Cricetulus griseus: one gene and its partner. The protein of the gene in region 2 interacts with the protein of the main gene of each other region in a biochemical or structural test. Links are inferred from orthologs where the notes say so. Each region holds a gene or a part of one and is shown on either strand. Other genes may lie near its edges.

What was found.
Region 1: the proteins of Efl1 (region 2) and Sbds interact in a biophysical measurement, tested with the Homo sapiens proteins (2 studies listed by BioGRID and IntAct, with this or other methods). The link is inferred for Cricetulus griseus from reciprocal best matches to the Homo sapiens genes EFL1 and SBDS.

The regions. Positions count from the first base shown.
Region 1 is NC_048597.1:109,589,131-109,593,044, forward strand, and holds the start of Sbds (ribosome maturation protein SBDS), read right to left. Parts: upstream 2,742-3,914; 5' UTR 2,537-2,741; coding exon 2,409-2,536; intron 1,405-2,408; coding exon 1,275-1,404; intron 1-1,274. UniProt on the Homo sapiens protein: Required for the assembly of mature ribosomes and ribosome biogenesis.
Region 2 is NC_048596.1:114,921,315-114,925,228, forward strand, and holds the start of Efl1 (elongation factor-like GTPase 1), read right to left. Parts: upstream 2,894-3,914; 5' UTR 2,786-2,893; exon of another isoform or gene 2,743-2,785; intron 2,055-2,742; 5' UTR 2,036-2,054; coding exon 1,945-2,035; intron 1-1,944. UniProt on the Homo sapiens protein: GTPase involved in the biogenesis of the 60S ribosomal subunit and translational activation of ribosomes.

The DNA of each region.
Region 1 (3,914 bases), on a different chromosome or scaffold from region 2:
TCAAACAAAAACCGAGGAGTTTGGAGTATTCCAGGATGGCTAGTGGCTCTTTGTGGCAGTCATGTGCTCCTATGGAAGGGCTGAAGCTGGGGTCCAGTGTCAAGGCCTTGGGATAGAAGTTGCAAGTTTCATTGCCCCGCCAGCCTTACCTAAAACTGCGGGAGATGCTCTGAAAACTATCAGCAGTTACAGGGAAGCCACTGAAGACTAAAGGGCCCTTCAAACTAAACAACCAGCTCTCACTATGAAAAGACCAAGAGGACTGTGAAGGCACAAAGCACTGCTCCTGCATCCAAAGATGCCTATCCAGAAAGGAAAAGTTCTTTCCCAGCCATCCTCTACATTTTGAGACCTCTGACCTGCTTGAAGAGGACCAGACTGTATACTTCCCCTTAAATGGGGTAGCTCCACCATCCTGAAAAAGGCGAGAGGACTTGAGAAGCTGGAGCACATGAACCTCCTTTGCCTATGAAGGGCCCTTTCCACCATTCTCTCCAATCTGGACATTGAAATGTCACCTGTTTGTTACAATACAGCTATTTCAACTTCTCATTCCTCTTTGTTTATGCTGTTTTAATAAAGCTGTGTATGCAAAGTAAGTAGACTCCTACTAATACTGTAAATGGTATTTCTTGGGATTAAAGCAGCATAAGGAAATTGAAAATTTGAGTTAAAGTGATACTGGAGGGGCTAGAGAGAAGGCACAGTGGAGTGCTTGCTGCTCTTCTTGACGATTGGAGTTCAATTTCCAGCACCCACACCAGGGGGCTCACAAACACTTGTAATTCCAGGTCCAGGGGATCTAATGCTGTTTTCTGGTCTCTGCAGGCACCTTGCACAAATGTCCACATTTGCTTGTTGATACACACACACACATCAAAAACAAAAAGAAAAAACAGCTGGGCATGGTGGTGCACATCTTTAATTCTAGCACTCAAGAGGCAGAGGCAGGTGGATCACTGTGAATTTGAGGCCAGCTTGGTCTACATAATGAGTTCTAGGCCAGCCAGAGCTACATAGTTATATGCAACACCCACCCCCATGTTATATTGGAGTTGGGTGAGGAACCATGATGCAGGAGGACCAGAAGTTCCAGGCCAGCATGGCTATCCAATTGAATCTGATGTCAGCTTCGGCTATATAGTGAGACCCTGTCTCAAAAAACAAAACAACACTGTACAAATCTCCCAAATCTTCCAACATAAAAAAATGCCAAAACAGCAAAAACTCATCAAGAAGAACAGATGTGTTAAGCTGCAGCTGGCAGAACCTACCTGCTTACAGATTTCAGTCTGGTCATCTGTTCCAAATGCACTGATGAGGTCTTCCTTCTTGGCAACCTGACCTTTGGAAACATTTACAAACACTGAGTGGGTCTGCAGAACTTCATCAAGGTCTTTTTCCCTTGAAAGGGCAGGAGAGAAAATCCTATGTAAATTCATTGGACAGTTAGAAATTCATTCACATTTAAATACAAGATGGCAACAAGATACATAGAAAGTGCTACAAATTGGGTCTGATGTGCTCATCTGAAATCCCAGCATATAGGAGGTGGAGGCAGGAAAATAGGGAGTTCAAGGACAGCCTCAGCTATATAGTATTTTCTTTGCTATTTGAAACCTTGTCTCAAAAAAACAAAACCAAAAAAGAGAAACTGAACACACACACATACACACTCTCTCTCCCAGGGGAGGACCTGTGCAGGAAGAATCTAAAACCTCAAACTCAGGACAGTATCTGTATTTTTCCACTTAATCACAGATTGGGAAAAAAAAAAAAAAACACAAAAACCACGTCATTGTTTTATGTAAGGAAACACAGGGTGTGGTGGGGCGTGGTGCTGAAGGCTTACATCCTGGAATATCTGTCCCTAGATGGCAGTAGTGAAGAACTACGCACTTTGATAAAACTGGAGATTCTAAGGGTGTGTATGTGGCATCTGCTGTACAAAGTTTAGTATTCGTATGATTAGTTTTTCGATTACTATTCCAGGAAAATGACCACAGTAAGTTTCTTTTCTTTGTGATAGTATTTGGCCTATCGGATTCCCGTATTAGTCACTTATCCAAGAAGCCCCTACCGCCACCCCCCCAATTCGGGGCTTCTTGGCTGCACATTTGTTTTGTTTAGCGAGACAGAATCACACACATTAGTTCCAGGTCGGGACTCGCAGCAATCCTCCTGCCTCACTCTCTTGAGCGCTGGGATTAGAGGCCTAGACCATCAGGCCTAGCTATGATGGAGTTTCTAGTTGGCAGTTTTTGATAGCAACAAAATCCCAAACCAGAAGCCAGTTGGAATCAAGCACATCAGGCCTGAAAGGTACCCATTACTCTCAGGGGTCGCGGTTAGGGAGGCCGGGCCTCGGTGTGGCCCGTTCGCTGGACTCTGGGCACAGGATCACTCACACGCCACTCCGCCAGCCGACGACCTTGTTTTTATAGCAGGCGATTTCGAAGCGCTTCCCTGCCCGCTTCATCCGCACCACGGCTACATTGGTCAATCTGATCTGGTTGGTGGGCGTGAAGATCGACATGGCGGCTGCTCACAGACCTCGGGCTCTCCAAGCGCTCGGCTGTTACGACCCCGCGGCGCGCGAACCCCCAAGGGTGCTAGGCTCTTCGCTAACCTACACTTGGGCAGCAGTCACTGCGCACCTGGCTACCCTACTGCGCCTGCGTCAGGCGGCGCACTCGCCGGGCAAAAAGCTAAGAAAGCAACTAAGCCTGCGCCGTGTGGCTTTTACGCCATCCGTCTCCGCCCTCAAAGGAAGGCGATCTTCGATGACGTAATCCGCGCGCGCCCGCAACTCCCATTGGCTGGTGAATAAAGTTCATTGATTGACCCGCTGGAAACATGGTGTTCTTCTAGTTGAACCGTTCTTCAGAATTCAGGAGCGGCATTCATTTTAACCTTTTAAGCAGAGTTTTAGTGGCAAAGGAGAAAAACAAAAGTGTAACGAGCTTCCATCGTCTTTCTTCAATAATTATCAACCTGTTTCCATCCTTATTTTGTCCTCCCTCTTTCGATTTTATTACCGTAAAGCGAATCACCAGGTGTGTGATGGCCCTCGCCTGTACTCCCAGAGTTTTGCAGGAACAGACAGGGTATCAGGAGTTCACGGTCATCCTCGCCTACACAGGGACTTTGAGACCAGCCTGGGCTACTTGAGACCCCGTTTCATCACCGCTGTCAAAGCACATGATCGTATATGGTTTTAGCCTTAAATACTTAAGTATATTCTTAGCAGACACTCCCAGATACATTTACTCCGAAACTTCAGTATCATCTAATATTCACTCCACACTCTACTTTCCACATCTAAACAATGCCCGCTACAGTTGATTTCAGATACAGCTAAGGTGCAAATGAGTCCACACACCTGAACTGCATACTATAGTCAGTGTCCTTTTTTTTTTTTTTTTTTTTTTTTTTTTTTTTTTTTTTTGAAACAAAGTCTCACTATGTAGCCCAGGCTGGTCTCTAACTCCTGGGCGACCTTCCTGCCTCAGTCTCTCAAATACTGGGATTAGAAGAATGGGCGGGCTCCTCCTGCGCCTGGCAGCCTTTAGTCTGTGTTTGTTTTTTCCTCCTAAGATCCCTCTTTCTTTTCTTCTCATTTAATAATCCTTTTGGCCCGGCGTAGTGGCCGGTGCACTCGGGAGGCAGAGGCAAGCTAATCGCTTTGTAAATTCGAAGCCAGTATGTTCCACCATAGCAAGTTACAGGACAGCCAGGGATATACAAGAGAGACTCTTGCTCTAAAGAGTAGGTATCCCGAATCTTGTGATCCTCCTGCCTCAGCGTCAGGAGCTCGGGAATTACAGGCCTGTGTCACTGAGCTGCCAATCATTTCTTTCATTCATTTACTTATTTGAGACAGGGTCTTTCTACCTAGCCCCGACCTACTTATG
Region 2 (3,914 bases):
GTCACTAGGAAATGACAGCACACTGTCTTCTTTCATAATTACCTATGTGTGACCCTCAACAACATTTGCTAGTTAAACTGTTTCACTTATTTAATAAGAAAACTTGTTTTCCTGTTGTTTGCAGTGCAGCCTATGGAGCAGTACACCAGAGCAGCCAATGTAACCCAGTTTCAAAACTAAACCTGAAATCTACTTTACAATAAAAGAAAAGTTTTTGCATAATCAATATACATTTACAGTTACCTTTATCAGACTATTGCCAAAGTTAACACAATTTCAAGAGTCATGAATAGGTACCTGTGTTTAAAGAATGACATGGACACATTCAATTTCCACAGTTGGGTAGGCCTAACAAATGGTTGGATTTTTCCTTCAATCCAGTTTTTCAAAAGGACCTCTGACGATCTTAAATAATGTGTTTTAGTATGTAATCCTAGAATCTCAGTTTCCTGCTGTGCAACAGAGTAGAATTTATTCTAAATATGCGAACTTCCCATTACTAAACAAGGCTGAACCTCTTAGACAACAATGTTTCATACACACTGGTCAATCTATTTAGTTCTCAAAGCAAAAACAAAACAGAAACAGAAACAGAAAGGGAAAAAGAAACAAAGTAAAACCTTTGGCTAGACCTCATATCCTCCAAACTTGCATATAATCATAAAACCCATAGGATAAGTTAGACACTGATTTGTATATAAAAGAACCAATCTCAGCTGGTTCTTCCTACAAAGTGACCCATTATCTCAGTTTCTATACTACCTTCTCTTCAGAGCTCACATTAATGCCAAGAGTCATCCAGCCTCTTTTCTGCCTTTCAACCCACCCAAGCACCTATACCAGTCTAATCAAATCTATTAGTACTTCACCCTTGCTTGCTTTTTCCCTCCATGGCTCCCTACACAATAATAAAAAAAATGTTACTCACGATTTTCATGACTAAGTATTTCATTGCTGAATGGTTCTCATAACCATCCTTTTACATAGGCTGTACACTGAAGCTCAAATAGGCAAAGTAATTTGAAAAGAACTCAGAGTTTAGGATGTCTAACTACAGAGCTAGAACACTTAATCCTTCTCTTAGAGCCTTGCAGGCTTGAAAAGCTCTAAGAGACAGGACCTAGCCTGCCTCTTCCCCAGCCACTCCCTCACCTTTAAAATGCTGAGTGGTTTTGACTTCACAGGCCATTCTAAACTGAGCTGCAGCTACTAGAAGAAAAAGTTCCAACTGGCAAGCAGACTCAGAATGAAGCAGTTTGATGGTGTCAAGGAATGTCTACCCTAATCCCACAAACAAGTGTTAGCTAACCGGGCCTTTGCTGTATCTACACTTTAGTCACTCTTGTCCCTGTTCACACACTGCCACTTAAAATGCTTGTCCCCACCTATCAGCTAGAGTCTCCTCTCAAAAGGCATATCTGACAGCTTTTCTTAACCCAATCTGGCTACCCAATCCTCCATTTCTCAAAACTCTTATCAATTCCCCCCTCCCCCATCTCATCATGTTGCCCAGATTCATCCCTGAAACCTCTACAGCTGGGCAGCTGGGCTCCTCAGAGATGTCTAGCTCTTGATAAATGTAACAAAATGCCACAAACTTAGCAAATGCTCATTCAGTATGTGATGAATTAAGTAAGGTCCCTCGGGGATACCCTCTACCAAGACCGTAGATGTTTAACATTTCAAAAACTTATCCATATTTTAACAAAGATTCAAGTTCAAATTTAAAAGCATATGAAATCCTATGCAGAAGAATGCTAATTACCAGGTAACCTATTACAAATGTTTTACAGCATGCTTCTCTGACAACACACACACACACACACACACACACACACACAAAAAAAAAAAAAAAAAAACACAGCACGCATCACTTTCATAACTCCAATGATACGTAGAAACATCCCCTTTGTTAATAAAAAGCCATTTTTTAAAAAGTCTTACCATGGTCAACGTGAGCCAAAACACAGATATTTCTGATGTTGGCAGTGTGTTTCTGAAGTTGAATCATCTTATCAACGCCATTGAGCACCATGGTTACTTATATCCTGTGACTAAAAAATTAAATGCAAATTACAAGTGGTACAAAGTTTAAGGGTCAGGGAGAAAACAACAACAACAAAAGTGGACGGACTGAGAGACAGATGCTGGTGTTCACAAGCCGCCTCAGATCTCTCAACTGAGACCCCAAGGAATGGTTAGCCACATTTAATTCCTTCTGCCTCTGACGGGTTAGGACAGTGCAAGCCCAAGAACAAGTTTCACTGCAAAGTCCACACACCTTTACAGCACTTGTGGAGTGTGCTGGGAGTTTCCGGATCTGCGGCGCGATGAATCACGCAGCTGGGAGCCGAGTGCAGAGACGCCCAGCTAAGTGACACCTCGCACCCAGGTACCGTGGCTCAAGGCGACCACAGGAAAAGTGGGTATCTCTCTCTTCTCCACTTCCCCTCCGAAAACCTGTCGCTCCTGTCAAGCGTGCTGGCTTTTACCAGACCTAAGGATCTCAGCCGAGACTGCACCGAATGTCCTTAAAAAGTTTTGGATCTCGTGCTTGGGAACACAGCAGGTGCATGACACATCGCCCATCCCTCTCCAATTAAAAAGGCAAACCGAGGTCTGCAAGCTCTTCCTCTGTTCGGGCTCCGGGAGTCGTTGCCGGAGGGTCCCAGGTTCCTACGAGGTGCAGCTGCTCCGTGCCCTGCTCGCCTAGCCCTGCCGCCACGAGCCCCCAGGTCCCCACCACCGTCCGGTCGCCGGCATCTCCGGCAGGCCCCCCACTCACCGGCTCCACGCTGCTCTTCACTCACGCCTCTCAGGCTCCAGGAGTAACTCAGGCCGGAAGTTGCAGGCGCCGGGAGGCGGGGCCTACAGGCCTGCGACCTCTGACCCGCGCGCGTCTTGAACGCCACCGGAAGTCACGTCACGCCCTTCATCGTGCAATCCCGCGGTTGCCTTGACGACTGCAGACGCTGTGGCTGCTCTGAGGTTGCGCCTGAAGCTCTGCGGAGAAGGACGCTGGAGCCAAGGGCATGAGGAACAGGTGTCTGTGTCAGATTTGCACCTGCGGGTAAGAAACGGCCGGCCGCTGCGGGGTCGGCGGGGCCGTAAGCACCGCTAACTTCTCCCTGCAACCCCCATTACTTCCTTGCCTGAGGGGCGAGTGCCCGGCGACTCCCCCACTTACCCTCTGCAAAGTGCCCCCTTTTTCTCTACTTGTCTGGCTCCTGGGGCAAAACTTTTCCTCTTTGTAATCCCCGAGACTTCCTATTCAGAGATTTAAACTGAAATACAGTCCTTCTGGTAAGTAGTATGAGCAAATATGGCTAGTAAGTGATGGAATCTGGACGGGGAGAGTTCGTGCCCCCCACCCATCATTTCTGTTGGTTAATTTAAAAGAACAGTATCCAAGGTCTTTACAACCTAGGGCTTTCCATCATCTAAACCTTATTGTTATTCCTGTCCAGGCGGCGTTCTCATAGGGTCTGCCTGACAAACAAACAAACAAAGGCAGTAGTCCCAGTCTTAAACCTCAGTAAATCCTGCCTAACAACCTTCCCCCACCAGTAAACACATTCTTCCCTTTCCTCAGCCTTACTGTTGACCCAGGGATTAGATCACCTTTGCTAAGTAAATATGAATAATTTCAAGCCCTTTGTATCTCTAATCCTTTTCTAGGGGCAACCACCTACAATACATGTTGATTGAAAGCAGTTTTTCTGCCTTTTTCATAATAAACATTGTATGTAAGTATGGGTGCAAACACAACTTTTAAGGTGTGAATCTACAAAACCTGGTGTGTAAGAAAAAAATTATTTAATCTGAATTTATTTACAGCCTAAGTTATTTTCCCATCCAGTCATCAAGAAACTCACTGTATTGGGGACTCCTCATTATTCAAATAATATTATCCA